Linked DNA regions of Saccharomyces cerevisiae S288C. Changing the gene in region 3 together with the main gene of any one other region gives a genetic interaction. Each region holds a gene or a part of one and is shown on either strand. Other genes may lie near its edges. The genes, in order: ECM15, AIM26 and YLR285C-A.

What was found.
Region 1: mutations in YLR285C-A (region 3) and ECM15 together harm fitness more than expected from each alone (negative genetic interaction), as found in Saccharomyces cerevisiae (one large-scale study listed by BioGRID).
Region 2: mutations in YLR285C-A (region 3) and AIM26 together harm fitness more than expected from each alone (negative genetic interaction), as found in Saccharomyces cerevisiae (one large-scale study listed by BioGRID).

Annotation. Positions count from the first base shown.
Region 1 is NC_001134.8:236,573-239,258, forward strand, and holds ECM15 (Ecm15p), read right to left. Parts: upstream 896-2,686; coding exon 581-895; downstream 1-580. Other genes in the region: HTB2 (histone H2B), read left to right, coding at 1-315; alpha,alpha-trehalase NTH2, read right to left, coding at 2,369-2,686.
Region 2 is NC_001143.9:367,198-370,221, reverse strand, and holds AIM26 (Aim26p), read right to left. Parts: upstream 858-3,024; coding exon 501-857; downstream 1-500. Other genes in the region: UGP1 (UTP glucose-1-phosphate uridylyltransferase), read right to left, coding at 1-331; RGT1 (Rgt1p), read right to left, coding at 1,105-3,024. UniProt on the Saccharomyces cerevisiae protein: Involved in selective mitochondria autophagy (mitophagy).
Region 3 is NC_001144.5:707,559-709,927, forward strand, and holds YLR285C-A (uncharacterized protein), read right to left. Parts: upstream 781-2,369; coding exon 610-780; downstream 1-609. Other genes in the region: NNT1 (S-adenosylmethionine-dependent methyltransferase), read left to right, coding at 1-587; CTS1 (chitinase), read right to left, coding at 890-2,369.

The DNA.
Region 1 (2,686 bases), on a different chromosome or scaffold from region 3:
GTCGATGGTAAGAAGAGATCTAAGGTTAGAAAGGAGACCTATTCCTCTTATATTTACAAAGTTTTGAAGCAAACTCACCCAGACACTGGTATTTCCCAGAAGTCTATGTCTATTTTGAACTCTTTCGTTAACGATATCTTTGAAAGAATTGCTACTGAAGCTTCTAAATTGGCCGCTTATAACAAGAAATCCACTATTTCTGCTAGAGAAATCCAAACAGCCGTTAGATTGATCTTACCTGGTGAATTGGCTAAACATGCCGTCTCCGAAGGTACTAGGGCTGTTACCAAATACTCCTCCTCTACTCAAGCCTAAGTCACTCACTAGGTATTGTGATTTAGTCATGTTTTCTTTTTATTAGTGGCATTTTTTATATATTGTAACATTAGGGTTCTGTTACTTGTCCAGATATGATTGGAAGGGTCTAGTCTATCAGCCTCCGAAGGGAGTTGTATAAATGTATATATATAACTTTATAAACAAAAAAAATTGGGAAAGATATTTTGCAAACAGTTATTATTAAATTGTTTCTTAAACTCTCCTTAAAGATATACCCTATTTAGGTTCACTACACGAGCATTCATTGAGAAATTTTTTTTAAAACAACATCGATCTTATCTTGAGCAGTTTGGTGCTTATCAGTTCTAGTCCCAACACGAATATCAGTGTGTACTCTAACATATCCTTTCTCATGACCGTATTCATGGATTTCGCCAATCAAACCCATCACATCATCCCAAGGCCCTTCAATTGTTGTTCCTGCACTGTGTAAAGTGCTCTTTAATGGGCTTTCTCTGATTTTTTTTTCAATGAGTGCAACAAAATCAGAAATACTAGCAGAGTCGGTGCCAATAGGGACCATACACACGTCCGCTAAACAAAAGATCTTGGGCATTTTCTAAACTTGTAGTTTATGTGCTTTATAGTTAATGATCACGACGGCAATGACAAAAACTGAATATCTTGATCTCTCCTTTTGACGATGTCAGTGAATCCCGGTTAATGATATTCTGTTTTTCACGGGGTGGAAAAGAGGGGAGCTTGAATCATACTAAAAAAGGAATGTCAAAGAGCTATATAATTCGAATAAAAAGTAAAAGAAACGAAAGGTTTTATTAAAGGGTTTGGAGCTGTTTTCGGACTGAAAGCCAGTAACAAGCTTGTGTAGGAGTTTGTCTGAAAACCATCTTCATTTCAAATAAGAGAGCGAGTAATTTTTAAATAATTTCTTTTCTGAACTACTTAAATCGCTATGTACCTTGCGAAAATTATTCTTTAATAGTTTAACTAAAAGTAAAAAGTTAGAAATCATAAATAAAAAATCAAAGAGACAAATCTCGTTGCAAAAGCTTGAAAAATAGTGCTTTACCAACAGGTTGGCAAACCAGAATGCTAACAAAACTTAAAATCCCATTTCCCAAGAGGATCAATCAATCATATTTACCTTGATAGTATAGGATACAAGTGTCTGTGCAGGCCTCCGATAACATGTAAAGTAATAAAAGTAGGAGTACTTGCTTTCAGCAGAAAATGAAAAAAAGAACGTTCAAACAGACTGAAAATATAGCTATTCAACTGGCACCTACTAATATCAATAATAATAAATTAATCTTGAGCAAATTGATCCTACATAAATCATGTGACTTATTTATTTAATTATTATTAAGTAAAAAAGATTTTCTATTTAAATTTATTAATTAATTTTTTTTCTTAAATAATTATTTTATGTTTTTGTTTTCCGAAAAAGAAAAATATTTCAACAAGAAGTATCAATATATTTCTTGCAAAAAATTGTTCACCGAGAATTGACAAAAAAACCTTACGTCGGTGACGACGATATACAGATCCTATATTCTTCATGTATGTAATAGATTCCCATACCTTCTTCGCATTTAAGACACTAATAGAAATGAAAGCTTTCTATTAGTCATTCTTCCTATGCACTAGACCACGCAAAGGTGAACCGGCTTGGTACGAGAATTCTATCACACGGTAATGATAGTGTTCCCGATGTCAAGCAGTCTTATACAGTACTACCCAAGAGCTTAAGAATAAGCAAGAAGATCTGGCAAGCTACAAGGTACTCATAACGATCTTCAAAGCGTAAGTTATGATCTTATGAAAATCAGACTTTTTTGTCTCAACAAACTCCTAGTTTGAAGATGTTACTGAAATGCCCTTCAAACACTTTTACTTGAAAATCATCGATTACTATTCTAACCTTCACAAATGAGCCTTTACACAACTTGATTAATAATAATATTTGACCTTACTCTAAATCGTCTCAAATATTACTGAGGCACAATCTCATGGTTATTGATAGAAAGAAGAATATAACATATATCTTATTTACATATGTTCGTCAATATTATAGGTAATACAATTTTTTCTCAGAGGGTTTCAAACTATTGAAAAATGGCAATGGTGGACTACAAGCAGCGAGAGCCCTTCTTGCATGATTATTCATATATTTCAATCCGAGCAAATAACTTGTGTTCACCCAACCAAAGCCTTCTGTAGCGACGCCCTTAAAATCAGCACCTTGATTACCATATTCCGCATCAACGCGATGCGGATCAGTCCCTCTTGTCACATCATATTTTTCTACCACCATTCCGTTATAATCAACAAATGATTTTGTAATCATGTACAGCCACCTATAAGCCAATCTTGTAGCTACTTGTTG
Region 2 (3,024 bases), on a different chromosome or scaffold from region 3:
CGTTCAACTTCAAAACAGCCAATTTGGAAAGGTTTGAGACATTCTCGGGCTGCTGAGAAATAATTTCATACTTAACCACTTCATCCGGGTTGGGAGACTTGATCTTGTCCCATTCCAAGGTGGTTCTAGAAGACTTCTCTACCAAATATCTCCTGAAAAGCGTGAAAAACGAATCCAGTTCGTTCTCAAACTTAGCGCGAGCAGCATCGTCAAGTTTACTAGAGTCCGCCAACTTGTTTAAGGCGTTTCTCATTTGTGAGGCAGCAACGCTGTTTGTGTTGCTCTCGAATGCATAAGTGGAATGTGTTTTGGTGTGCTTCTTAGTGGACATTATTATGTTATGGTACACTTGCTGTGGAAGTTATATTATATAATCGGAAGAGGACTAGGCCTTTTAACGTTGCTGATGTGGAAAGAACCAGAAATTGAATCTCCAACTCCTAAAACCGTAACTTCAATCTCATGGTACCTGCTGGAAGAACTTTGTTGTTTGTTTAGATTTATATACTCAATCCAAAACAGGGAAAGGAAATGCAAAAACGGGCCGAGCCCAAACAAAAGAGGAAGCGCGTCAGGCTGTTCGAGAAGGGGCGGGGGAAGGGGATCAGGTTACAAGACGCTGTACAGGGATCTGTGTGAGAACAAACCGACACCAGAACTTTGGACTTTGCAAGCGCCGGAATTGAATCTGTAGCAATGGCAATGGCAATAGTGATGGCACCAGGTGTAACAGCAAGCCGGCGGTAGCAACGTGCGTAATAAGGACTTCTGCCCCTGAAAAAGTATGCCAAAAGTAGGAGAAAGAAAGACCCCTTTAGCTGTGAAAGAAGAAGGTGCTCCCCGCCCATTGTCTGCATGCGCCCCTGAGCTTGGCGACTCTCGAATACCGTGGAAGATGGTGGAGCACCAGAGTAAAAGGCCGTGCGCACTCTGACAAGGCAGTATTGTTACAGGTTAAAACAGCTAGTGTGTATATGTGTAAGTAAGTATTATTTATGTGTTTTACTTAAATTGGTCATTCATTGCATGGTAGTTCTTTACGCGAATTTCTGCCTGAGGAGAAGGGAGAACCTGACCTACAGGAGAAGGGAGCATAGTTACCTGTCAATACCAGCCTAACTCGGAATCGTCCAACAGCTTCCAGCCGATACTAACGAAATTTTCCAGGGCAACGTTCTCAAGCCTGGGTTCCTCTGCGGCTACTGGCGCCGTTGTCGGTTGTGTACCAGAAGTACGGCGTTCATCAAGCAATGTCTTCATGACTGATGACTCGCGGAGGCCTTGGCCCGACTTTGGCCACATGACGTCGTTTCTGGTCGTGGACGAAAGTCCTCCTGTCAGGGACATTATGGGCTTATTAAGCTCGTGCTCGAAGATCTTGAATGGCTTGATCATTGTCAGCACGCTGGTGATTTGAACTACTTCATTCATCGAGTTTGACAGCTTCATGACCAGGTCCTGCGACTTCTTGGTGTCCTGAGTATTCTGCGTTGTAGTTGCCGTCATCATAATGCTAATGAGTGATGTAGGCATCTGCTTGACCAGTTCAGTGATGTTGTAGACCTCGTGCAGGATAGCAATAGCAAAGGGGGAAATTATCCCCCGGCAAAGGTCTGAAAGGATAGTGCCAGTGTCTTGTTTCAGGCCTAGTAATTTCTTGTAAAAATCTGGATTCCCCTCCGATGGAGGTGCAGCGCTAAGGTTCCCAGCGACTGGAGACGAGCCCATAGCAGATGGGCCCTCTTGCACTGTCGGATTATTAGCGGGTGGGTTCGGTGGTCTATAATTAAAATCAATACTGTTCGTAGGATTCAGTCTTAATATCAACGTCAATACTTGCAAAATTATTGATATCAATGAGCACAGAGAGTCTGCTATTTTCGAACTCAAATCCAATGTCAAATCTGAATAGACTCCTGCTTCTGAATCGTATAATGATAATAAGCAATTGATGAAATTGTGTTTGCCAATTAATAGCTTGCAAAATAACTGTGCTACGGATAGAGGTTGAGTTTCCACATATTCCGATAAGAGTGAAGACGAGTTCGTAATATCGAACCCAGGCTTCCTATTGCCGTTCATTGATATTCTATTCCTGGTAAGCTCACTCATCAATTCACCCAATTTCAAGCTTTGCAAGACGCTTTTCAGTCTCAATTGGCTTTGTTCCAGGCACCATTTTGAGCCCAAATCATTAGAAAAAAATCTTTCTGTAGAACCTTGGATGGAAATGTTTAATAGCTTGGGACCACCGAATGCACAGCTTTGTAAAGAATCAAACACTGAAAGCAAAACGTATAATCTTTTAAACAACACTGAATAGTGACTAATGTTTTCGTCCATGGAATTTGGTGAATTGGATGGATTCATATGCCCAGCACTTTCAGATCCAATTTCAAATTCGGACGTTTTTGTATTCCCATTACCAGTGCTGACCTCTTCATCAACTGGAGGCTTCACATCATTTATATCCGGCTCCGGAAATAATAGAAGTTTGTATAATTTAAATTCGTTAAAAATTGTCACCGACATTCCAAGTACAAATGAGTTATCGTATCCAACAAATGCCAAAATGTAATTTAAAAGAATAAAAGTAGATAAATAAATGACTTTGATCTTCGGCGAAATTTGGTCGTTGTTTTCTCTGAATTTGGGATGAATATCCACGATTTTTTGGAAACATTCATTGAGGGCGGCAATAAAAACGCTTTGCACTTCCAAAGTATCCTGTACTTCATTATGTGAATCACGTCTTGTTTTTTCAGCATCATCCCTTGCCGTGGCTGTAGTGAACCCAGCTTTGTTGTTGTCATTACTTGGCGACAAAGCCACGCCAACAATATTATCGAAAAACTTGCCACCTGGCTTTTGTTTCAGAGCAACACGAACTAACAATTCCAATGAATTTCTAAACCACAAAATAACATATGAATTGACTTCGTGTATATTGGAAATTGGCTGTGTGTTAACTAACAATAAGTCACTGGTCAAGGTCGTTTTGTTTAAAGGTATGATCGGAAATCC
Region 3 (2,369 bases):
GAATATACACCGCAAATCACTTGGATTCTCATCCAGAATTAATAAAGGGGAAGACTGTTTTAGAATTGGGTGCTGCTGCTGCTTTACCTTCCGTTATTTGTGCTTTGAATGGGGCTCAAATGGTTGTTTCAACTGATTATCCAGATCCTGATTTAATGCAGAACATCGATTATAATATAAAGTCTAACGTTCCTGAAGATTTTAATAATGTCAGTACGGAGGGTTATATTTGGGGAAACGATTATTCTCCATTGTTGGCACATATCGAAAAAATAGGTAACAATAATGGAAAGTTTGACTTAATCATTTTAAGTGATTTAGTCTTCAATCATACGGAACATCACAAATTACTTCAAACAACAAAGGATTTATTAGCTGAGAAAGGTCAGGCGTTGGTAGTATTTTCACCGCATAGACCAAAATTGTTGGAGAAGGATTTAGAATTCTTCGAATTGGCTAAGAACGAGTTCCATTTGGTTCCTCAGCTAATTGAAATGGTTAATTGGAAACCGATGTTTGACGAAGACGAGGAAACAATCGAAGTCAGATCTCGTGTTTATGCGTACTATTTAACACATGAAAAGTAGTAAGTGGGCGGAATTGGCATTCTCAACAATCATTTTTATGTTTGTAAACCAGTGTCCTTTGATATGTAACAATTAAATAAAATAAGTCATGATGGGGCACGAATTCGCAAAATGGTAGAAACACAGTAAATCGAAGAAAATTAAATAATTCGTTATAGATATAAAGTAGTCGATTATAAAAACGTAAAAACATGAAGGCAGGGTACCTTGACGAAATAAAAGAGAGGCGGTGAGATGAGGTGAAAAATAAAGAATATTGCAAAAAAAAATATTCGGACTCTATGAATCAATCTCTAATAACTTTAAAAGTAATTGCTTTCCAAATAAGAGAAATTACATTGGGTATAGACTGAGTCGCCGGAGTCATAAGCATAACATGTGGTTCCAGAAGCACATTCCATGTAAACCCAAGCGCTATGATCACAAACGGCGAACTTCCCATCAGCAGAGCATGCAATTTCACCTTCAGTACAGGTAGATTTACCGTTCAATTTACCAGCCGCATATTGAGCATTCAATTCTTTAGCCAATGTACGAGCTGTACTGTCTGAGCTTGTACTACCTGAGCTTGTACTACCTGAGCTTGTACTGGTCGTTGTTGGGGAAAGCGTACTAGTAGTAGCTGTCTGTAGGGAAACGACAGAAGAACTCTTCGTTGCTGGCGAAAGAGTACTAGTGATAGCTGTTTGAATTGGGGCCGAAGAAACTATGCTAGTAGTAGTTGTTTGAGGGGTCACCAAGGCAGCACTGGTTATTTGGGAAGATAGAGTAGTTTTCATACTTGTGATAGCAACTGAATTTAAAGTGCTCTCTGTTGTGGTGGTACCTAGACTAGATTTTGTCTTGGTGCTACTCGTCAATGTTTTTGTAGTTTGAGTAATTGATGTTTTGATAGCGCTGCTTGCAGTTGGAGATAAAGTAACTTTGCTTTTACTTTGTGTAGATGTCGTAGATTGTGTGGTCTTTTTCTGAGAAGTTGAAGCAGATGAAGTTGAAGCAGATGAAGTTGAGGCTGCTGAGGTTTTTGAGGTGGCAACTGTAGTAGTGGCGGTCTGGCTAGCACTTGTTAGCAAATTCTTCAAAATCTCAACATATGGTTCACCATTTAGCTCGTTGGAAAAGGCTTGAGATGCATCCCATAACGCAATACCACCAAAAGAACTTGAAGAGGCAATATCTGCAATAGTTGATTCCAATAAAGAAGTGTCAGAAATATAACCAGAGCCAGCAGCAGAAGCAGAACCAGGTAAACCTAAGAACAGTTTGATATTTTTATTTGGGGATACAGTTTGAGCATAGGTTAACCAAGTATCCCAATTGAATTGACCACTCACACTGCAGTAATTATTGTAAAATTGGATGAACGCAAAATCAATGTCTGCATTTTCCAACAAGTCACCAACAGAAGCATCCGGGTATGGACATTGTGGTGCGGCAGAAAGGTAATATTGCTTTGTACCTTCGGCAAACAAAGTTCTTAACTTGGTAGCTAACGCACTATAGCCTACTTCGTTGTTGTTTTCAATATCAAAATCAAAACCATCAACGACTGCTGAGTCAAATGGTCTCTCACTGGCACCTGTACCTTCACCGAAAGTATCCCATAAAGTTTGTGCAAAAGTTTCCGCTTGAGAATCATCTGAAAAGAGGTAGCTACCAGATGCACCACCTAATGATAATAGAACTTTCTTTCCTAGGGACTGGCAAGTTTCAATATCTTCAGCAATCTGGGTGCAGTGAAGTAAGCCATCAGAAAAAGTATCAGAGCATGCGTTGGCAAAG